6 linked regions of the Ovis aries genome follow. The protein of the gene in region 1 interacts with the protein of each later gene in a biochemical or structural test. Links are inferred from orthologs where the notes say so. Each region holds a gene or a part of one and is shown in the gene's direction. Other genes may lie near its edges. The genes, in order: AURKB, KLHL13, CENPA, RACGAP1, CDCA8 and KLHL9.

Region 1 (2,012 bases):
TTGCCGCCTGAGGTCAGTCCTCTTCTGACTGTCTGCCATTGGCCCCCCAGATCATGGAGGAGCTGGCAGATGCTCTGACGTACTGCCATGCAAAGAAGGTGATTCACAGAGACATCAAGCCAGAGAATCTGCTCTTGGGGCTCCGGGGTGAGCTGAAGATTGCTGACTTTGGCTGGTCGGTGCATGCCCCCTCCCTGAGGTATGGTGGGCCAGAAGGCCAGCCCTGGGTATGAAGCCATTCAAAATAAAACCACTTCAGATCTTGTTACCCAGAGACATTTTGGGTTGTTCTCATGTAAATATATAGACACAGCAATATCTTTACAAAAATAGGAGACTTTGGGAGTTCCCTGCTGGTCCAGTGGTTAGGACTCCAGCTTTCACTGCAGGGGGCCCAGGTTCAATCCCTGGTCGAGGGAACTAAGATCCTGCAAACCGTGCAGCGTGGCCAAAAACAAAAATAGGAGTCTCAGTTTTGTCACTCAGATTTCTCACTTGAAACAATGGGACCTTCTTGCCATATCACTGAGAATACTCCCACATCATTTTTAGTGGCTTCATAGTATTGCACAGTAGAAATGTAATGTGATTAAGCAACATGTGATTGATGAACATCTGAAATTCTTCCTATAATTCTAAGGTGAACGTTGCCCTCATATCTGATTTATTTTAAGGTACGGCCCTCAGTGTGGAAATGCAGAGTCAGTGTGCTAGCCCCACTCCTACCCCAAAGACCCCATCAGAGCCTGGTTGGAAGACCCCTGGCACATCCTGTGGTCGGTCTGGGCTCCCTGTCAGGCTGCAGGGAAAGGAGGGAAAGTCTGGATCTGAGATCCCTGCCCACTCCCCCTCTTCCCCCGCCCCACCCCAGGAGGAAGACAATGTGCGGCACTCTGGACTACCTGCCCCCAGAGATGATTGAGGGGCGCACGCACAATGAGAAGGTGGACCTGTGGTGCATCGGCGTGCTTTGCTACGAGCTGCTGGTGGGAAACCCGCCCTTCGAGAGTGCTTCCCACAATGAGACGTACCGGCGCATTGTCAAGGTGGGAGGCTGGCCCCCGGGGTCTGGCTGGAGTTTGTGCCAGCTCAGGGGCTGGGGCAGGGAGTGGGCACACTGTTGCTGTTGATGTTAAACCCTGCTAATAGAGTGGGAAGTGGAGGCAAAAGCAGCTAGGATGAAGCCTGTCTCTCCTTCTTGCAGGTGGACCTAAAGTTCCCTCCTTCTGTGCCCATGGGAGCCCAGGACCTCATCTCCAAGCTGCTCAAGCATAACCCCTCAGAACGCCTGCCGCTGGCCCAGGTCTCTGCCCACCCTTGGGTCCGAGCCCACTCTCGCAGGGTGCTGCCTCCCTCTGCCCCTCAGTCTGTCCCCTGAAATGTCCCTGTCCTTTTCTCAGTTGTGTCTGTGTCTGTATATGTGTAGCCAGGAGGAGGGGGGTCCCAAGTCTGTTTCTGCATCTGTCTTCTACCTCCTCTTTATTTAATAAAGGCTGAAGCTTTTTGTACTGATGAGTGTAGATGTTTACATGTGGAGACTGCTGTGAAGGAAGTCATCACCCATGGGGAGGAGGCGAGGGAGTTGCCCATGCTGGGCAGTGGGGTGGGCACTGCATCATCACCCCTGGGAACACCCCTCAGCACTGAGAGCAACCTCTCAGCTCTAACCTCATCTGGTCAGCTCCCAACCATCCTACTTCCACATCTTTCCTTTCCCCTGCTCTGGCTCCCAGGCCTGGGGATGCTGGGGACCTGGCTCTACTCTGCTATGCCTGCACATCAGCCATCACCAACCATCTCCACCCACCTTCTATTACTCCCTCTTAGTTGACCTCTAATCTTTCCCTTTCCTGGGTCAGTCTTGCTGACCTAGGAGCAATTAAAGTTGTCTTCTTGTTTTGTTTTTCTGCTCTGGTGAGGATTTAGCACAGGAGTAAATAGAAGCTGATGGTGTCTTGTTCCTGACCTATGGGAAACTTGTTCCCATAGTTTCACTGCTATGTATGATGCTT
Region 2 (4,285 bases), on another chromosome or scaffold:
ATAATGCCAACCTTGTGCAGTCCTCTCAGTACTGCTAGTTCTTTTCAGATTAAATTCTCCTGATTAAATTTACACAGGTAGAGTTTAATTTCCTTCGAAAGCCCCTCAATAATGCAGGATGGAGCCTTGAAATTCATAGACTGACAGTAGTTTTGCCCATAGAGCTCAACATCCTCAATATTTGGGCAGGTTAGAGTTAAAATCAGAAGGCTGGGTCCTAAGAGATGTTTTTACTTTTTACCTAGCATATCAAAGGATCATAGTGCTTGAGAAGTTTATTATCCCAGGAGGGAAGAAGTGACTAGCAATTCTATCAAAATGACTCATTCAGTTTAGATAAGTTAAATAACTCCAAGTTGTGCATACTTCCTCCCAAAGTAAGCACCCTGTGAAGTTAAATTTGCTAATTACAAGAAAGGAAGGAGAAGGAATGAACACTGGAGATCTTTCTGCCAGGTACTGGACTACTAGGCAGTTTACACAGGTCCTGATGTAGCTGTTCGTCAAAATTAAATGCTACATTCATTGAAAAGAAACAATACTCATACAGCTCTAAATTTATTAAATCATATGATTACTTTAAGGGGAATACCAGGAAGACAAAATTTAATTTCACAGGACTCCTATATACTTGGAAATCCAAGTGAATTTTCTATCCTCTACCATCTAGCTGTGAATTTGTGAAGTTAAAGGAGATTCAATGCCATCTCAAGATTGGCCATTGCCAACCTTCAAATCCTATACTAGTGATTTGAAGGTTGGTGGAAACACACTCATTAACGACCTACCAACATACATTTTCTCTGCTTTTGTCGCTGTAACTTTTGGGGTACATATTATATATAATACCTATTCAGTTTTAGAACGACTTCTAGAATGTACAGATAATATTAATTTGCATTAAGGTATTTCTTCCACGGGTAAGCTTGCAAATTGAAGGCAGCTGACTTTTGGAACCATATTAGTGACTTTTACAGTAACATGACAAATTTTACCCATTTTCAAGTTCCTATAGCACGAAAATGTATTTCACTGCCTCTAGTGCCACACAAGACCAGTAGAGGAGTTCGGTGAACTCGCTTTAAACATTATTCCAACTCGGAAGAGTCGGGAGTGGGTCAGTAGAAGTCCCAGGCAAGCGAAGCATTCCAACTACTGTAGTTCCTACTCAGAATCTCCCTATTAATCACCACTAAAACATTTTGCAGAATTAGATAAAGAGCACAAAGCTGTGGCTCTCCTTCCAACCACAGATTACTCAGCACTTGTTTGTATCACTGTAGTCGGTTGTACACATTTCTGTACGGCAACTCTTTTAAGACCGCAGTCTCGCTAATTGTAAAGGACCTCGTCTTCGATTTCCTCTGCCTCATGGCAAGATGTTATTTTGATAAAACACCGTGGATCTCGAGTACATCAGCTAGAGGACTTTCCTAAGTAAACACCCAGTCTTCCCCCTCCCCTCGCTCCGCTCCTTTTCTTTTTGTGCAACCAAAAGAGGACAGCAAATAGGGAGAAGTAGAGACACCTCTGAATCGGATAGGTAAGTTAGCGGCAAAAGAAGGAAAAAAACCCGTCACTGCAATTCCTGTTACCGCTCCTTTAATCTATGGCCCCCAAGGCCAAAACGGATGTTTCAAGGTAAGCTCTGAAACCCTCAAATACACATCTCTGGTTCTCGAGCTCGTAAACTGTCCCACCTCGCAGAAAGCTGGACAAGAGAAAGCGGCTCCGAGAGAAGCCCGGGGGCCGTTTACCAGGGCCAAGAGCGGGGTTTGCCCGAGGTGGGCGATTGCCCTCCCCGGAACTCACTCTGAAGTAGCCGAGGGAGACGGAGGGGCTGCGGCGACGGGACCTGGAAGGGGTGTAGGGGGGAAGGCACAGGGGAAGCCAGGAGACGGGGACGCCTGGCTTCTGGGCCAGGGCTACTTACCCGGTAGGGTCGCCGCCCTCAAGGTGCACATCTTCAGGGGCATCAAAGAATTCCTCCGTGTCGCTTTCCGACGCCATTTATAGGACACACCCGCGGGTGAGGGGGCCGGCGCCGCCTGGAGGGAGGGTGACTCTCGTCTCCTCCTCGTCGTCCTCCACACCGGCGAACCGTGGGGAGGTGGGTCCCGGGGAGGATGAGGAGGGAGCAGACGATCTGAAGAGAGGAGCTGGACAGGGGGCTGCCGGCAAGTGCCGGACTGAGGCAATAACCGGCAGAGCGGCCGTCTGAGGAGGCGGCGGTGGACTGTTGCTGCCGCCGCTCCCGGCGATAGGTGTGCGAAGAGAGCGAAAGAGGCGGTGGCTCTCCTCAGTGGGGGAGGGCGGGCGCGCGGACGACAGCAGCTCCAATATCTCCCGCAGCAGCAATTACAGCTGCTGGGAGAGCCAGTTGCCCGAAAAACACGGACGCGCACCTACCCTCGCGAGATTTCGGGAGGGGCCGGTGGGGCGTGGGTGGGGCGAAGAGGAGGCGGGGGCGGTTCCTGAGAGGCAGAGCTCAGATTTTTTGTACTCTAGAAGCCTATCAAAACGGCGCAAGCGCCGTTGAGGGCGTTCGGTGAGGGCCGGAAGTAGTGGGGAAGGGTGGGGATGAGTGTTCTGAGGGGAGGAGTCTAGAGCCTACGCCTGAGCGACGCGGTCCCCCGACTTTGTGGGAGCGCGCCTGATGTAGGTGGGGTCCGGCAGAGTGTCCCATTCTCTAACTCTGCAATTCTAAACAGAGGCATTTTTAGAGGGGTGATTTGGAGTTTGCTGTTTTTCTTATGAGGAAATGGTGTCGGGATAAGTTGGCATTGTGGTTTAAATTTTCGTCGATTTAATTTATCCAAGCCCAGATTCCCAAACCCTAGGGAGTAGGCGGGTCCACCTCCTCTAGCGTTATGGGGCATAACCTGTGCTATTTAGTACAAGATCTCTAATTGAGATCTCTAGATAGGATCCTGCTGGCCAGAGGGTGGGGTCCAGGAGAGATAGTGGGGAGTGTGCCAGTTCGATGGAGTAATGATGGATTTGTTGCTGGAGCCGAGCCACTGTAGGGCCTCCGGTTACTTTCTCTTTACAGATAACTATTGTTGCCCACACTTAACGGGAGAGAAATTCTTACATACTGGTCAATATGTGCATCAGTCAAATGGTAAATATATTGAGCAGATTCCGTTGCAAGGATAAGAGTTTGTAACTTAATTCTGATCCTCAACTGCCGTGTCCAGTGATGAAAATAGAAAGGTGCTTATAAAAGACTAAGATGTTCTTTGTTAACGCATCATTGACCATCAAAGTGATAAGGCTGACTTTATATATAATCGGGAAACATTTATTTTTCCAACTGCCATGACAGGAAGGCACTCGGAGCTGTTTGCACAATTGTTGCTCAAGATGGCGGCAGAAAAGCAACTGGGACCGGGGTCATGGCCTCAGAGAGGCTGGAATGGGATTCTAGATTCCTACGTGGAAAGCTACCAGGAAAAGACCTGGGGTTGTCTGGCGAGTTTGTGTAAAACCGAATGCCATATACTATGTATTCTTTAACACCCTAGGGAGTTGAGGGCAAATGCTGCATAATCAAATAGGGTAGTATTTCTTGCAGCAAACCTTATGATTATTCATAAGCGGTAGATAAACACTAGTAAGTAGCCACCTTCAGTTCAGGTCAGCTACTACTGTCAGATAAGTTTAGGTTAGACTAAGTTGACTGTCAAATAAGTCACTAAAAATACAAAACAAAAATGTTTGGCTTCCAGAGCTTTTTGTAATTAAGAAGTGCACAGAAGGGATTTGTGGACCCAATTATTAGCTTTTATGTGTTTTAAACATGCTAATTTTCTAGGTTTAAAAATATATCTCAAAGTACAATCTTTTTATTTTGTTGCTCACTATAAGGGGCTTCCCAGGTAGTGCTGATGGTAAAGAACCCGCCTGCCAATGCAGGAGACCCAGGGTTCAATCCCTGAGTCAGGAAGATCCCTTGGAAGAGGGCATAGCAACCCACTCCAGTATTCTTGCCTGGAGAATCCCATGGACAGAGAAGCCTGGTGGGCTACAGTCCATAGGGCTGCACAGAGTTGGACATGACTGAAGCACCTTAGCATATAATCAGGAAAGATATGCTTTTTTCCCTTATGGATTATGGAAAGATATAAATAAATAAACTACCTGAATTTATTTTCTTCCTAGCTATGTAATAGTGAATTTACATTTGCCTTAAAAATTAAAACTTACTGTCATGTTCTGTTCTAGGTGCTGAGCATAATTCAAAGACGACAATTTACTTCCTGTTTCCCGGGAGCTCACAATC
Region 3 (3,952 bases), on another chromosome or scaffold:
TTGTGGCTATTGTGAATAACACTGCTATGAGCCTTATTGTACAGATACCTGTTCAAGCCTCTGCTTTTTTTTTGGAATGTATATGCAGAAGTGGAATTGCTAGATCATATGGTCATTCTATGTTTAATTTTTTGATCCACTGCCATACTGTTTTCAACTGTGACTGCACCAATGTGCATCCCCACCAACCAGCAGTGAATAAGGGTTCTCTAAGATCACTGATTTTGTAACATTCTTCCTGATTACAGTCACAGGTTACTATAGAACATCTAGGAAATGTAAAACAAACAAACAAAAAAAGCATAATGTAAAACCCCCTTTATTCTAACTGTCTAGTTCTATATTTGCCCTCAAGCATATTATCCCCCAACAGGAAGGGAAGGGATCTTTTCCCTTGGGATGATTCTATTGAAATGCTGGAGCGTATGATCCAAGAAAAGAGCTGAAGACTGCCCTGCTTGATCTTATTGTCAGAGTTCCCATCCTGGCTGTCCCACGACCCTAATCATTAATAGCGTTCAGGATGAGATAGTTGGATGGCATTACCGACTTAATGGACATGAGTTTGAGCAAGGTTCGGGAGTTGGTGATGGACAGGGAAGACTGGCATGATGAAGTCCATGGGCTCTTAGAGAGTCGGACATGACTGAGCGACTGAAATGAACTGAGTTAATGCTCATTTCTGAGTCGCGTTCGTGGGGTGTTCCGGGTGACCCTAGTCTCAGGAGAGGCACAGAATAGTCACATTCTCCTTGGGCCTGTCTCCGAGTCTTTAAAAGCCAATTTAGGATTAATAGAGCAAAACGTAAAATATTTGCGCAAAGTGATTCATCTAGAGAATCGCGTTCCACACACGTACCGTCTACATAGTCAGAATGGAGCTTTCTTTTTACGACCAGAAGCCACGGGACTACCTGGGTCTAATCCATCAAACATGCGGGCTTCTCCGAGCGAGCGGAGGGCGGAGTAGTTCCCGCCTCCTTTCACTTCTTCAAGTCTCTATTGGCTGGTTCCTACCGTCGATCCGCCTCATCCCCGTAGTCTCCTCCTATCACCGCCGCCGTTAGCCCAGGAGCGTTCCGAGGCAGCCAGTGGGAGTCGCTGGATTCGGTTTTTAAAAAACGCCGCCACTGAATTGGCGGCGGCGAGGGCAATTCGAATAGCACCCAGCCGGGGCACGCGGCCGGGACGCCCCGGCCCTCCCAGCCTCTGTCCCCGGACCCAGAAGATCTAGAAGGAGCCGCGGGGCTGCAGCCCTGCTCGCCCGCCATGGGCCCGCACCGCCCGAGACGCAAGCCCGAAACACCAAGGAGGCGCCCCGTGAGCCCGGCTCCCGCCGCCCGCCGGCCGGCCCGGTCCTTAGGTAACCTGCCACGATCCATTTTCCTCTGAGCCGGTCTGCCTACAGCCTGTCTGTGAGGTGGGTACGGACCCAGTCCACGTGCTCATTTCACAGACGAAAAGCTGAGGCTCCTTGCTGATCTGGGATCGAGCCCATTCTCCCAATCCCGGTCCATTCGCCTTCCTCTACAGGGGGCAAAGCAGTTCTGTCCATACGGAAAGTGAAAGTGAAGTCGCTCAGTCGTGTCCGACTCTTTGCGACCCCATGGACTGTAGCCTACAAGGTTCCTTCGTCCAAGGGATTTTCCAGGCAATAGTCCTGGAATGGGTTGCCATTTCCTTCGTCAGGGGATCTTCCCAACCCTGGGATCGAACCCGGGTCTCCCGCATTGTAGACAGACGCTTTACGGTCTGAGCCACCAGGGAAGCTCAGTACGGAAACAAGGTCCAAAACCCGGAGGGGACTGAGGAAAGCAGTTTCGAGGAGGAGAAAGGACTGGCTTAGACATTCTTGATACTAACAGCATGGGTTGACTGCTTACCACTAACTAGGCATTATGTTAAACTCTTTATACGAAGTTACTTAAATTTATATTGTGCCCATTTTACAAATGGCTCAGACAGACCTGCTAACTTGAGCAAGGTCACCCAATCTGTTCCCGCAGACAGGATTTTTTAAAATCAGTGTTTGTGCTTTTTTCAGTCGCAAAATTATTGGCTACTTTTGGTGACAACTTCACAAAAGTTTTGTGACAACAACAGTTCTACTTTTAGAAGGTGCCTGTTTAGGTATTTGGGTGGGTGGGGGGGTGGGGTTTTTTCCCTTCAGTGAGAGGCTGTGTTGGGCCTTAACCAAAGTGCCCTAACTCAACCTGTTCTCTCACCTTGTCCTCTTGCAGAGGTATATGCCTGGAAAGAAGGGTGGTCTGTGGTCCTCAGTTTCTGTGCTGTGGTCTGGGGGATGGGAGACCTAACCATCAGCAACCGCTTTACTTGTCTCCTGCTCCATAGCTAAGAGCAGGGAGAAGAAAGTGTTATCGGTTTTTTGTAGATGTTGCTATAGTGCATAGGATTTTTTTCTTTCCTAAACATAAATAACCTTTGCAGCTAGCGAACTTGCTGAATTCTCTTGTGAATCCTAATAGTCTTTTAGTTGCTTTAGTTGAAATTTTCAAGTGAGCTATTATATTATGGGCAAGTAATGACTTTTGAATCGTTTTTTCATTTTTATACATTTTCTTTCTTATTTTATTGTTACTGAGGCCCTGAGACTAGTGTTGCCATGTGTGTGTTTTCCTCTCTTCCCAGTGACCCTTCAACTCGTTCCAATCCGACTTCTCATAACCACTACCCCTGTGTCTAGTGCCTTTGAACTACTCCTGTCAAGGTCACCAACTACTTTTGTGTTGCCAACTTTATTAGACATGCCTGTGTTCTTCTCTTACCCTGTCTTTCAGAAGCATTCGACACAGTGGGCCATTTCTTCCTCAAAACCCTCCATCCCCCTGACTCCATGATACATACACTCTGTAATTTCTACTCAGTGGTTAGTGCCTGTGCCATCTCTCTTGAGCAAGTTGATGTTGGACTTCCGTGGTCTCCTTTTTCTTTCTTTCCCTTCCCCAGGGGGGCTCATCTCTCCTTTTGACTCCAGTAGGACTTAACACTCTGACAGCTCTCACATACACGTTTAGCTCCAGCCCGGGTCTCGCCTCTGACTCCACATACCTATGTCCTACTAGTGTGACTTTGGGGTATGTCACACTAGTTCAGTTCAGTAGCTCAGTCGTGTCCGACGCTTTGCGACCCCGTGGACTGCAGCACACCAGGCTTCCCTGTCCATCACCAACTCCTGGAGTTTGCTTAAACTCATGTCTATAGAGTTGGTGATGCCATCCAACCATCTCATCCTCTGTCATCCCCTTCTCCTCTGGCCTTCAATCTTTCCCAGCATCAGGGTTTTTTCCAGTGAGTCAGTTCTTCTCCAAACACATCTAAAAGCAAACTTTTGGTTACTCTTCTCCTGCCTCTTCATCCTCAGTTTCCCCCATTTCAGTAAATGGCACAACCTCCCACAGCCAAAAACCTGGAAGAGATTTTTCATTCTATGCCCCATGTCCATCCAATCCAAATGTAAGTTCAGGTACTTCTACTGCTACATCGCATCCTAATCATGCCACTTGTTTCCTTTTCTACTCCCACTAGCCTCATCTAAGCCCCAACCCTAAGCCAGCTATGACATCACTTCTACTCTTGTCCCTTTTCAGTACTTTCCTTACATAGGAGCAGGAGTGATCTTTAAATAAAAGTGTATCAACTCTCCGTCCTGCTTAAAGCTCTTCCGTGGCTTCCCATTACATTAGGATTAAGGTAATGTGTGAAAGAGTTGGCATTTAAATTAAGATCCTCAAAGGATCATCACTGAGGGTCAGTAGGACCCTGAAAGGATCATTTATTCATTGATTTAACCAATATTTATGTAGCACTGATCCACTGTTCTCCAGTTGCTGAAGATGACCACAATGACCGCAATAGACAAAAACCCCTGTTTTGGGGAGCCTGTTTTCTACAGTCTACTATTTGGCTTCCCAGGTAGCACTAGTGGTAAGGA
Region 4 (3,500 bases), on another chromosome or scaffold:
AACAACTGGTGAAATCCGGGGAGAACTGGTTTCTTAGAACCCTCATGAGTCAGGGGCTGGATGTTTCAGGTCGTTCACTGTACTGCTTCTTACTGGGGGACAGAGCCCTGTTTTGTCATGCCCTGCTTTGGCTTGCTAGCCTGACCTACACCGCTGGTGTGTAGCTTGTCTCTCTGGAAACTGTGTTGCATAGTTCACTTCTGGGTGTTATAGACTCCTGGTTATCTACTAGTTATATTGTGTATTTGGCTGTGTCGGATCTTTGCTGCGGCACTCAGGATCTTTGTTGTGGCGTGCACGTTTCTTTGGTTGTGGCTCACAGGCTATTTAGTTCCCCTGTAGCATGTGGGATGTTTCCCAACATGGAAGACATATTTCTTTTCCATGTCCCCTGGCACTGGAAGGGAGATTCTTAATCACTGGACTGCCAGGGAAGTCCCTACTGGTTATATTAGAATTGGGGTTAAAATTCAGACGGGAGAATTACCTGGCGGTCCAGTGGTTAGGACTTCGCACTCTGACTGCCAAGGACCCTGGGATCAGTCCCTGGTTGAGGAGCTAAGTCTCATGAACCACAGGGTGCGGCAAAAAAAATTCAGAAGGAACGAAACATCTAAGACACAAAGCTTGGAGTTGTCTGTTTTCTAGGTACTTTACAGCCTTGGAACAGTGACTCCACATTGAGCAGCAGGCAGCCAGAGCCAAAAACCGAAACAGACGGCTCCAGCACTCCGCAGAGCAATGGGGGGATGCGCCTGCACGACTTCGTCTCTAAGACGGTAAAGCTGGGGCTGCTGCTGCTTTGGGACACATCTAATTTTTTAACGGTGGGCGTAATATTTGCTAATCACAAATTTAAATATTTAGTGTTGTAAAGTTAAATGTCAAATTTCCTTCCTCCTCATCCCCCTCTCCAGGGTTAGAGAGGGTGTGTATCTTTCCATTCTGTGAGTGATAGTAAAAGAAAGCAACTTTTCAGAAGCAGTGTTTGCTTTATCATGATATGTATTTACAGTTCATGCTTGAATATGGCACGCCTTAACTTTGTCCCATTTGATTTCTGGTAAAAATCCAAGCAAACTGACAGGGGCACAGAGGCCTTAACTGACTTGTTTGAGCCACAGGACAGTAAGTAGCAGAGTTTAACATAGAGGTTTTCTGACTCCTTGCCAGCAGTTTCTTTCCACTAGTGTATGGTGATCCCTTTGCAAATTACTTAGCCTCTTTTTGCTTGTTTCCTTATCTTAAAAAAAAAAAAAAAACCCTATAGGATTATTGTGAGAATTACACAAGTAAAAAATATGTGTAAAGGGATGAGAAAGCTATTGGGCACATGCTAAGTGCTTAATAAATGTTGATTGATGATAAATGTTCTAATTCATACCATTCCCTGTTTCATCCTCAGGTTATTAAACCCGAATCTTGTGTACCATGTGGAAAGCGAATAAAATTTGGCAAGCTGTCTCTGAAGTGTCGAGACTGTCGTGTGGTCTCTCATCCAGAATGTCGGGACCGCTGTCCGCTTCCCTGTATTCCTACCCTGACAGGGACACCTGTCAAGATTGGAGAAGTATGTATATGACCTGTGGGAGCCCTCACTGTGTTATGACTTTGTTAGCTTTTAAAAAGCCTCTGTGCTCAGACGCTTCAGTCTGTCCAACCCCTTGTGACCCCATGGACCGTAGTCTGCCAGGCTCCTCTGTCTGTGGGGATTCTCTAGGGAAGAAGACTGGAGTGGGTTGCCATACCATCCTCCAGGGGATCTTCCCAGCCTAGTGATAGACCCTGTGTCGTGGTGGATTCTTTACCTCTGAGCCACCAGAGAAGCCCTTTAAAAGCTTATGGTCATTTTTTTCAAAAATTATTGACGCCATGTACATTTCCTCCCTCAAATAGTGAATAGAAATTATAAAATGTTAACTTGAAGAATCCTGTTTGGGTTTGTCTGTCTGATTAGTAGCTTTTCTAAACCAAATTCTTCTTCCTTTTCTTCCCCTCCCTTCCTCTTCCTCTTTCCCTCCCTTTCCTTATTTTCTTGCTTTTTCCTTCTCCCTTCCCTCCTTTCGCTTCCTATTCTTCTCTTCCTTCCCATCCCCATCCCATCTACTTTTGTAAAATTTCAAACATATACAAAAGTAGAGAGATGAGTGTAACTAACCCCTATCATTCTTATCATTCATATCTTATCATTCAGCTTTCATGATCCCTGACTCATGTCCAGTCTTGATTTGTTAATACCTCCATCTTCTCCTGACCCTGTTCAGTGAATTATTTTGAAGCAAATCCCAGCCATGATATAATTTCATCTTTGAATATTCTTTATCTTATGTTGGAGATATTCCATACTAGGCTGTTAAGATTAGATTCATTTCTAAAATTTGATTCAATTCATTAAGAAATTATTGTTAGAAGCAACATTAGCAAGAATCAAAACAAAATGATTGAGCTGCTACTCAGCCTCCAGCAAATCAAATATTACTTTTCTTTAATCTTTTTTTTTTCTTTTAGTGCATGATTCCCATTTAATCTTTATTTTTTTTCTGGTTGTTCTGGGTTTTTGTTGCTACTCGAGGGCTTTCTCTAGTTGACAGTGAGTGGGCCTACTCTTTGTTGTGGTACACGGGCTTCTTTCTTCGTGGAGCACAGACTTTAGGCCCGTAAGTCTCAGCAGTTGTGGCGCGTGGGCCTTGTTGCTCTGTGGCATGTGGAATCTTCCCAGACCAGGGATCAAACCCATGTCCCCTGCACTGGAGGTGGATTCTTATCCACTGTACTACTAGGGAAGTCCTTTAATCTTAAGAATTTTTATCCATGCATGTAGTTTTTTTTACAGATTTTCTGTACTATAGAGCCACGGAGTTCTCTCCTACAGATCAGTGTGTGTCATAGTCAACTGAGTTGTATTAAATAATTTTTCTTACTAAGAGTAATTACAGGATAGAACAGATTTTTTAGAGTAATAACTTAGTTTATATTACACTCCACACCTGTAATCTCATTATTGCTTTCTTTCTGATGCCCTTGACTGTAAGAGGAGCAGGGGTGGAGTTGTAGCCAGTGATCTTATTACTTGTTCATGTGAGAGTGTGGTACATGTGACCATAAATCAGTCCTGGTGTAGAGGTAGGAAGAATAATTGAGCGGCTCTAGTCTTATTTATGCTTTGGGAAGAGGAATTTTAAAGTAGGCATGGTGTCCCAGCCTCAGTATTAGTCTGGGGATGGCTCTTCCCATTGGCCTTCATCTGCTAGTCTAAGTGGTATAAATAATAACTTTAAACTCACCTTTTTCAGGGAATGCTGGCAGATTATGTGTCCCAGACTTCTCCAATGATACCGTCAATTGTTGTCCACTGTGTAAATGAGATTGAGCAAAGAGGACTGACTGAGGTAAGAGTCCATCCTTGGAGAGGGTGAGTTTGTTATTTGCATCAGTAATTAAGAGGTTTTTAACTGAAAATGTCATCTTGATAACAGACAGGCCTGTATCGGATCTCAGGC
Region 5 (2,913 bases), on another chromosome or scaffold:
TTTTTAAAATGCAAACAGGGAGATGAATAAGACACAGAAACATAACAGTAAGCACTGCATATTTTGTTCAGTTGCCAGACAATCCGTGTGTAGAGCTACCCACATGGTTAGTCACAAAGTGGCTATCACCTACCTGTGGCTAGTTTCTTGAAAAATTCCTCCTGGTCCTGCTAAGCAATGAATCACCATGGACTTGAATTTCTTATGCTGGGAGGGTGGGGGAGGGGCTGCCTCTTAATGAGCTCAGGAAAGGAGTCACTGGAGCGTGTCTGTGAAGAGTGAGCTCCTCTCTCTTCTCCCTGGGCAGTGGGAGCTGTCTGGCTAGAGGACAGGAGCTCCAGCTAGGGGGCCTACAGGGTGCAGAGGGGCTGTCTCCTTCCTCTCGTTCCCTTAGCTTGACTGAGAAGTCAGATTCTGGAGGCAGACTGCCTGGGTTCAGGGTTCTGGCTCTGCCCTAATGTCCCCGAGTTTCTGCATCTGGAAATGAGGATAATGGTGCGTCTCACAGGGTGGCGAAGAGGCTGCATGAGCTAATGTGTGGAAGGCGCCCAGGACAGGCTCCGACATGCTCAGTGTTACCTGCTTATACGCTGTAGTCACTGGACCTGAGAGTTGGTGCACCTAATGGCTGTGTCTTTCCCGTAGGTCAAGCCATTATGCCACCGTTACCCCAGCTGTGGGCCGACTGGAGTTGTCGCTGGTGAAACCAACTCCGGGCCTGACACCCAGGTTTGACTCAAGGTGAGTACTGGCAGCAGCGCTTGGATTTTGGTGGGAGCCCAGTACTTGACATTTGTCAGAAGAGAAGAGTATTTAAGAAAATACTGGAAAGCCTCACTCAGGAGCGTTTCCTAATGTTTGCCTCTCCCCTGAGAGCAGGTTCACCTGTTTTCAGTGGCAAAATGATTGTTTATCTGATGAGAGGGAGGAGACCAGTCTGTCCCTGATGACTTGGAGGCCTCTAGTGACTATTTCGGTCCTTTCTGATTCTGATTAAGTTTATTTTAAGTTGGTAGGTACTCTTCCCATACCCTTGGTAGGAGTGAAAATTAACACCACCTTTTGGGAGACCAATATAACTAAGGATGTTCTTACAGCATAAATTAATCCCTTCTACAGTGCTGGTCAACTGGATAGCAGATGCTGTGTAGCCATTAAAAAATAAGCGGCTCTGCATGTGCTGATGGGAAGAGCCTCATGGTCAGGAGCCTCTCCACACAGGCGGCAGAGCAGCACGCCCCAGACGATCCCATTTGATAGTTTCTGGAGGGATGCGTCAGGAACTGGGCATGCTTGTCTCTGGAGTGGGAGAGGGAGGAAGACCTACCTTCTACTTCTAATTCTCACTCCTCCTTAACTTTTTTTTTTTTGCATGAGTATATAGCAAAGGACATTTAGGGAAAAAGAGATGGAAGCACTTTAAAGATCTCAAGAAAGTCAGTTTGGGAATTAACATAATGATGTCATCACTGAACCATCCTCCTTTGACCCTGGAAAATTTCTGATGGAAGCACATAGCCACTCTTAGAAATATATTAGCCAGCATTTATTTCTGGCCTTGTGGGTGGATGGATGGGTGGGTGACTGCTCTCCGTATGGAGCTCTGGACCTAAAATTTACATGGATAAGAATTTACTTTTGCTAGATGTATGTTTGATAATTACAGCCTCCTTTATCCAGCTGTGTTGAGTCATTACTGCTTTTTAACCCTAAATTTAGAACGTGCCTTCTTAGAAATGTGATTTGAAAACTGCAGCTTGAGGCCAGATGGAGTTTGGAAGGGCTCATAGCGCCTGGTGTCATTCAATCTGCCAAGCCATCTTTACAGACATTTCCCCACTTTATAGGATCTTCAAGACCCCGGGCCTGCGTACTCCAGCGGCCAGAGAGCGGATTTACAATGTCTCTGTGAACGGCAGCCCTCTCGCCGACAGCAAAGAGATATTCCTCACTGTGCCAGTGGGAGGCGGAGAGGTGAGTGTTCCAGGGAGGGGTGGGTCGGGCCACTTTGCGCAGCTTACTCACCATTTCTTTCTCTTGTCCATCACCCACCTCTCTCCCGGAACCCAAAGTCCTTTGGTTGCCTGGCTCGTCATCTCCACACTTCCGTAGGACTCAGAACCACTTCCTCTCCCAGGGTAGAGCTCCAGCCTGGGAGGATTCTTGCCCAGCTCTGCGTTCCATTTGCTCATCAGCTAACATAGGCCCACGTATCTTGTATTAATAGCAGATGTGGAAGACATTCCTGCCCTCGAGTAGCGGTCAGTAGTCAAGCTAGGCTCCCAGTTAATAACATAGCATGCGATATGTGCAGTGAAGGAGATTTTAAAGGGTGTGCAAAGGAGGGCACTGTCAGGGTGCATGCTTAGTCCAGAAAGGGCAGCATGAGGGTCTTCCACTTGGTGTAATTCTGAGGAGTCTGAAGCAGGCAGAACAGAGCAAGTTGCTGACCTCCGCTCGGGGACGGAGGGGATGGTTTATCTTACGTGAGGTCTGCAGGGCATTTCTAAGCGAACGTGCACCCCTTGTCTTCAGCTGATCCAGCCACTGACCCAGTGATAAACGCCAACATCACTGTCTCCTTGGGACTCACACCCCTCCTGCCTGCCTTGCCACCACCCCCCACAAGTGCAGGATATCAAGGGGACCCCCAGGGCACCCTGGGCTGCTGGCAGAGGTTCCTGCTCTGAGGGACCAGCCACTTTAACCCTCTCCCCTCCCCACAGAGCATGCGGTTATTGGCCAGTGACTTGCAGAGGATCGATATTGCCCAGCTGGATCCAGAGGCCCTGGGAAACATTAAGAAGCTCTCCGTAAGTCATTCATGCTCCTCTCCACACACAGGGTGGAGCCTTCTGGGTTTAGCCATTCTTAGGCTCGCCTTTTGGGTCTGGGCTACTGCTTTACACTTAC
Region 6 (4,121 bases), on another chromosome or scaffold:
TTGCCCTGGAGATAGCATTTCACATACTCTGGGAAGCTGCTCCAAAGAGGTAGAGGGGTGGTTGGTATATATGTGATTTTAGTGAAGAGAGGGGTATATGCAATCAAGCATGTTTTTTTGCAGAAGGTTTTGCTAGTCACGAGGGAGCAGATATCACCATGAAGGAATTTAGTGCTTTTCTAGATATGAGGAGATGCAAAAATTGTGCTCCTAAAATCAGCTCCTGAAAATATCTATCTGAAGACCTGTTCTGCCAGTTTTTCCAGAGCACAAGAGTGCCTCCTTTCTGATCTCCACTCTGAACACCCATCAGGTGGTGTTGAAGGTCAGCAGCTACAACAGCAGGAGAGATTTATTCAATCCTTGTAGAGGTAGATGGCAAGTGCCAATGAAAAGTGCCAATATGTAGTTTTTCAAAACATCTCTGGTGACAATATTTTGCAAAAAACTTTGTATGTCTTCAAGCAGCATTCTAACATTAGGATTTATCCCAAAATGGGAAGTTTTGTGCTCGGAGTCTGTAACATTGGAGAACAACGAAGTATATATTCAGGAACAAATGACAATTGTCTATCCATTTAAAAACTTGTGAGTGGAAAACAAAAGCACGAAAAATTTACTGATGGAATTCTGCTGCATGGCAAAAATTCAGCCTATATTATTTACATAGCATGGTCATAATTTGGTATTTTAAGAGAGGCAAATAACCTGTTTTAAATGATTAAAATCTGAAAATATGTACCCAGAGTTATACTTGAACTGTCTATTAAATTGTGTGGGATAGGTTTTTTGTTGGTTTTTTTTTTGGTTGAGGAGTTTGAGGGATCTTGGTCTGCAGCCAGGGTTTGAACCCTGGCCACAGCAGTGAAAGTGCCGAGTCCTAACCACTGACCTGCCAGAACATTCCCAGTGTGGGATAAGAATTAATAAAGTTTGTTTTTTATAGAGGAAAACTAAAAGCATCTTTCCCCTAAGGAAGCCTTCTGCCAGGTTTCAGCTTCCAGAAAAGCTGCATTTCATTGTTATCCAAAAGGCAGAAGCCAAGAAATGTAAATCTCGAAGTATTCATTTAGAGGAACAGCTCAGCTGCAGTGAAAGAGTTATATTAAAAATAATATCCGGGCACCCATTCCTATTTAATAATACCACATACAAAGTATCCCGAAGACACCCCGCTGGCCCACCCAGCACAGCTCTGCGCGACCCAAACCCCGCCTGCTCGAGGCACGGCCCACATCCTCCCATCCCCCACACAAGCCCGCCTACTGGCTAGGTCGGGCGGCTGCGCAGCCGCAGTAGCTGCCACGGCCGCTCCTAGCCCGGGGGATCCTGGGACGAGGCCTTTCCGGAAGGACCGGCTCGGCGTTGGGAGCTCGGCCCGTGTTCCAGGCCCAGGCTCGTGTTCCAGGTCCTTGCTCCAGGACGGGCCGGTAGCCGCGGCGACGCTCAAAGGGCGGCGGAGGGCGCGGCGGGCCGCTCTCTGAGGTGCCGGCCCTCGCCGTCGAGCGAGACGCCGGGCCGCAGGACGTGGCGGCACCTCCCCCTTAGCCCGGAGCAGAACTGCGGGAAGAGCAGCGCAGGCCGGACCAGGTGAACCGGGTCACTTAACTGCCTCAGGTGATGAATCATCTACATAGTAGTCAGATTTGAGGTCCACAGCCCTCTGTGGGCCAGCTGCAGAACAATTTTCAATGTGGGACTATTGTGTTCTGAGGCGTGCTGCAGTGACAGTTTGCCCTTGATAAGGAAAGCGAGCTCTCTTGCTCTTGGGACATCCTCGTTTCCTTTAAAGCTTTCCGGTCGTAACCTCTTTGTCCGGCATACATCTTTGTGCAAGAGGAAGGCGTTCACATGAAAGTGTCTCTTGGTAACGGTGAAATGGGCGTCTCCGCCCATTTACAGCCTTGCAAGGCAGGAACCACACGTTTTTTTACCAGCAATACTCACAGTTCGGTGGTACTGCAAGGTTTTGATCAACTTAGAATAGAAGGATTGCTTTGTGATGTGACTCTGGTGCCAGGTGATGGAGATGAAATCTTCCCTGTTCATAGAGCTATGATGGCGTCCGCTAGTGATTACTTCAAGGCTATGTTCACAGGTGGAATGAAAGAACAGGATTTAATGTGCATTAAGCTTCACGGAGTGAACAAAGTTGGTCTGAAGAAAATTATTGATTTTATTTATACTGCAAAGCTTTCTCTTAATATGGACAATCTTCAGGACACTCTTGAAGCTGCCAGCTTTTTGCAAATCTTGCCTGTTTTAGACTTCTGTAAAGTGTTTCTTATTTCAGGAGTCTCTTTAGATAACTGTGTTGAAGTTGGACGAATTGCTAACACCTACAATCTTATAGAAGTAGATAAATATGTCAATAATTTCATTCTGAAGAATTTTCCTGCCTTACTGAGTACTGGAGAGTTTCTAAAACTCCCTTTTGAACGGCTTGCCTTTGTGCTTTCTAGCAATAGCCTTAAGCACTGTACTGAACTTGAGCTCTTTAAGGCTGCCTGTCGCTGGCTAAGGTTGGAAGATCCTCGGATGGATTATGCTGCAAAATTAATGAAGAATATTCGATTTCCACTGATGACACCACAGGATCTCATCAATTATGTGCAGACAGTAGATTTTATGAGAACAGACAATACGTGTGTGAATTTGCTTTTGGAAGCTAGCAATTACCAAATGATGCCATATATGCAGCCAGTGATGCAGTCAGATAGAACCGCCATTCGATCTGATTCGACACACTTGGTTACATTAGGAGGAGTTTTGAGGCAGCAGCTGGTTGTCAGTAAAGAATTACGGATGTATGATGAGAGGGCTCAAGAGTGGAGATCTTTAGCCCCCATGGATGCTCCTCGTTACCAGCATGGCATTGCTGTCATTGGAAACTTTCTTTATGTAGTTGGTGGTCAAAGTAATTATGATACAAAAGGAAAAACTGCTGTTGATACAGTTTTCAGATTTGATCCTCGATATAATAAATGGATGCAGGTTGCATCATTAAATGAAAAGCGCACATTTTTCCACTTGAGCGCCCTCAAAGGACATTTGTATGCTGTTGGTGGGCGAAGTGCAGCTGGTGAGCTGGCCACTGTAGAATGTTACAATCCAAGAATGAATGAGTGGAGCTATGTTGCGAAAATGAGTGAACCCCACTATGGCCATGCTGGAACAGTGTATGGAGGCTTAATGTATATTTCAGGAGGAATTACTCATGACACTTTCCAAAATGAGCTCATGTGTTTTGACCCTGATACAGACAAATGGACACAGAAGGCTCCAATGACAACAGTCAGAGGTCTGCATTGCATGTGTACAGTTGGAGACAAGCTCTATGTCATTGGTGGCAATCACTTCAGAGGAACAAGTGATTATGATGATGTTCTAAGCTGTGAATACTATTCGCCAACTCTTGACCAGTGGACACCAATTGCTGCCATGTTAAGAGGTCAAAGTGATGTTGGAGTTGCTGTCTTTGAAAATAAAATCTATGTCGTAGGTGGATATTCTTGGAATAATCGTTGTATGGTAGAAATTGTCCAGAAATATGACCCAGAAAAGGATGAGTGGCATAAAGTTTTTGACCTTCCAGAGTCACTTGGTGGCATTCGAGCTTGTACTCTCACAGTTTTTCCACCTGAAGAAAATCCTGGGTCACCTTCCAGAGAATCACCTCTTTCAGCACCTTCAGATCATTCTTAGGACCAAGGTGTAAAACCTTTGCAGTGCATCAAGGATGATCCCGTAATTCCCCTTCAGTTGTATCTTCTTACAATGATTGGTACAGTTATTAGATTAAAAAGGTAATTGATGTTATTTGTATTGTTTGGCTTAGTATGTTTATCAAATGGTTAACAACTGTATTCTGCAAATGTATGTGTTCAACATAGCTATTTTAACAAATGTAAAAAGCAGAAAAATTGTTAGATATCTTTTTGTGGTGTTGTGTAAGGCAGAGTGTAGGTGATTGAAGTAAATGTATAATTATGTTCATTATGCTTCAAAGTTGAAAGTTTTCATCTTTGACTACAAGACATCAAAGGGAGGATGCCTACTATAACCTAAAATAATAAACAAAAAAGGTCGTCAAGCCTTATTAGCTGCTTCCCTTTTTTCAT

Evidence for each region.
Region 2: of the proteins of AURKB (region 1) and KLHL13, one has a biochemical effect on the other in vitro, tested with the Homo sapiens proteins (2 studies listed by BioGRID and IntAct, with this or other methods). The link is inferred for Ovis aries from reciprocal best matches to the Homo sapiens genes AURKB and KLHL13.
Region 3: of the proteins of AURKB (region 1) and CENPA, one has a biochemical effect on the other in vitro, tested with the Homo sapiens proteins (3 studies listed by BioGRID). The link is inferred for Ovis aries from reciprocal best matches to the Homo sapiens genes AURKB and CENPA.
Region 4: of the proteins of AURKB (region 1) and RACGAP1, one has a biochemical effect on the other in vitro, tested with the Homo sapiens proteins (2 studies listed by BioGRID and IntAct). The link is inferred for Ovis aries from reciprocal best matches to the Homo sapiens genes AURKB and RACGAP1.
Region 5: the proteins of AURKB (region 1) and CDCA8 form a complex in vitro, tested with the Homo sapiens proteins (3 studies listed by BioGRID, with this or other methods). The link is inferred for Ovis aries from reciprocal best matches to the Homo sapiens genes AURKB and CDCA8.
Region 6: the proteins of AURKB (region 1) and KLHL9 form a complex in vitro, tested with the Homo sapiens proteins (2 studies listed by BioGRID and IntAct, with this or other methods). The link is inferred for Ovis aries from reciprocal best matches to the Homo sapiens genes AURKB and KLHL9.

Annotation. Positions count from the first base shown.
Region 1 is NC_056064.1:27,652,583-27,654,594, reverse strand, and holds the end of AURKB (aurora kinase B), read left to right. Parts: exon of another isoform or gene 1-50; coding exon 51-199; exon of another isoform or gene 200-871; coding exon 872-1,046; exon of another isoform or gene 1,047-1,204; coding exon 1,205-1,378; 3' UTR 1,379-1,512; downstream 1,513-2,012. UniProt on the Homo sapiens protein: Serine/threonine-protein kinase component of the chromosomal passenger complex (CPC), a complex that acts as a key regulator of mitosis.
Region 2 is NC_056080.1:116,536,123-116,540,407, forward strand, and holds the start of KLHL13 (kelch-like protein 13), read left to right. Parts: upstream 1-1,485; 5' UTR 1,486-1,641; intron 1,642-1,933; coding exon of another isoform or gene 1,934-2,010; exon of another isoform or gene 2,011-2,395; intron 2,396-2,594; exon of another isoform or gene 2,595-2,662; intron 2,663-4,227; 5' UTR 4,228-4,285. Other genes in the region: WDR44 (WD repeat-containing protein 44), read right to left, coding at 1,934-2,010. UniProt on the Homo sapiens protein: Substrate-specific adapter of a BCR (BTB-CUL3-RBX1) E3 ubiquitin-protein ligase complex required for mitotic progression and cytokinesis.
Region 3 is NC_056056.1:33,923,376-33,927,327, forward strand, and holds the start of CENPA (histone H3-like centromeric protein A), read left to right. Parts: upstream 1-1,152; 5' UTR 1,153-1,269; coding exon 1,270-1,363; intron 1,364-3,952. UniProt on the Homo sapiens protein: Histone H3-like nucleosomal protein that is specifically found in centromeric nucleosomes. Replaces conventional H3 in the nucleosome core of centromeric chromatin that serves as an assembly site for the inner kinetochore.
Region 4 is NC_056056.1:136,300,577-136,304,076, forward strand, and holds part of RACGAP1 (rac GTPase-activating protein 1), read left to right. Parts: intron 1-648; coding exon 649-779; intron 780-1,405; coding exon 1,406-1,570; intron 1,571-3,293; coding exon 3,294-3,389; intron 3,390-3,476; coding exon 3,477-3,500.
Region 5 is NC_056054.1:12,512,377-12,515,289, forward strand, and holds part of CDCA8 (borealin), read left to right. Parts: intron 1-645; coding exon 646-741; intron 742-1,847; coding exon 1,848-1,974; intron 1,975-2,726; coding exon 2,727-2,913.
Region 6 is NC_056055.1:89,892,476-89,896,596, reverse strand, and holds the start of KLHL9 (kelch-like protein 9), read left to right. Parts: upstream 1-1,321; 5' UTR 1,322-1,851; coding exon 1,852-3,705; 3' UTR 3,706-3,806; intron 3,807-4,121.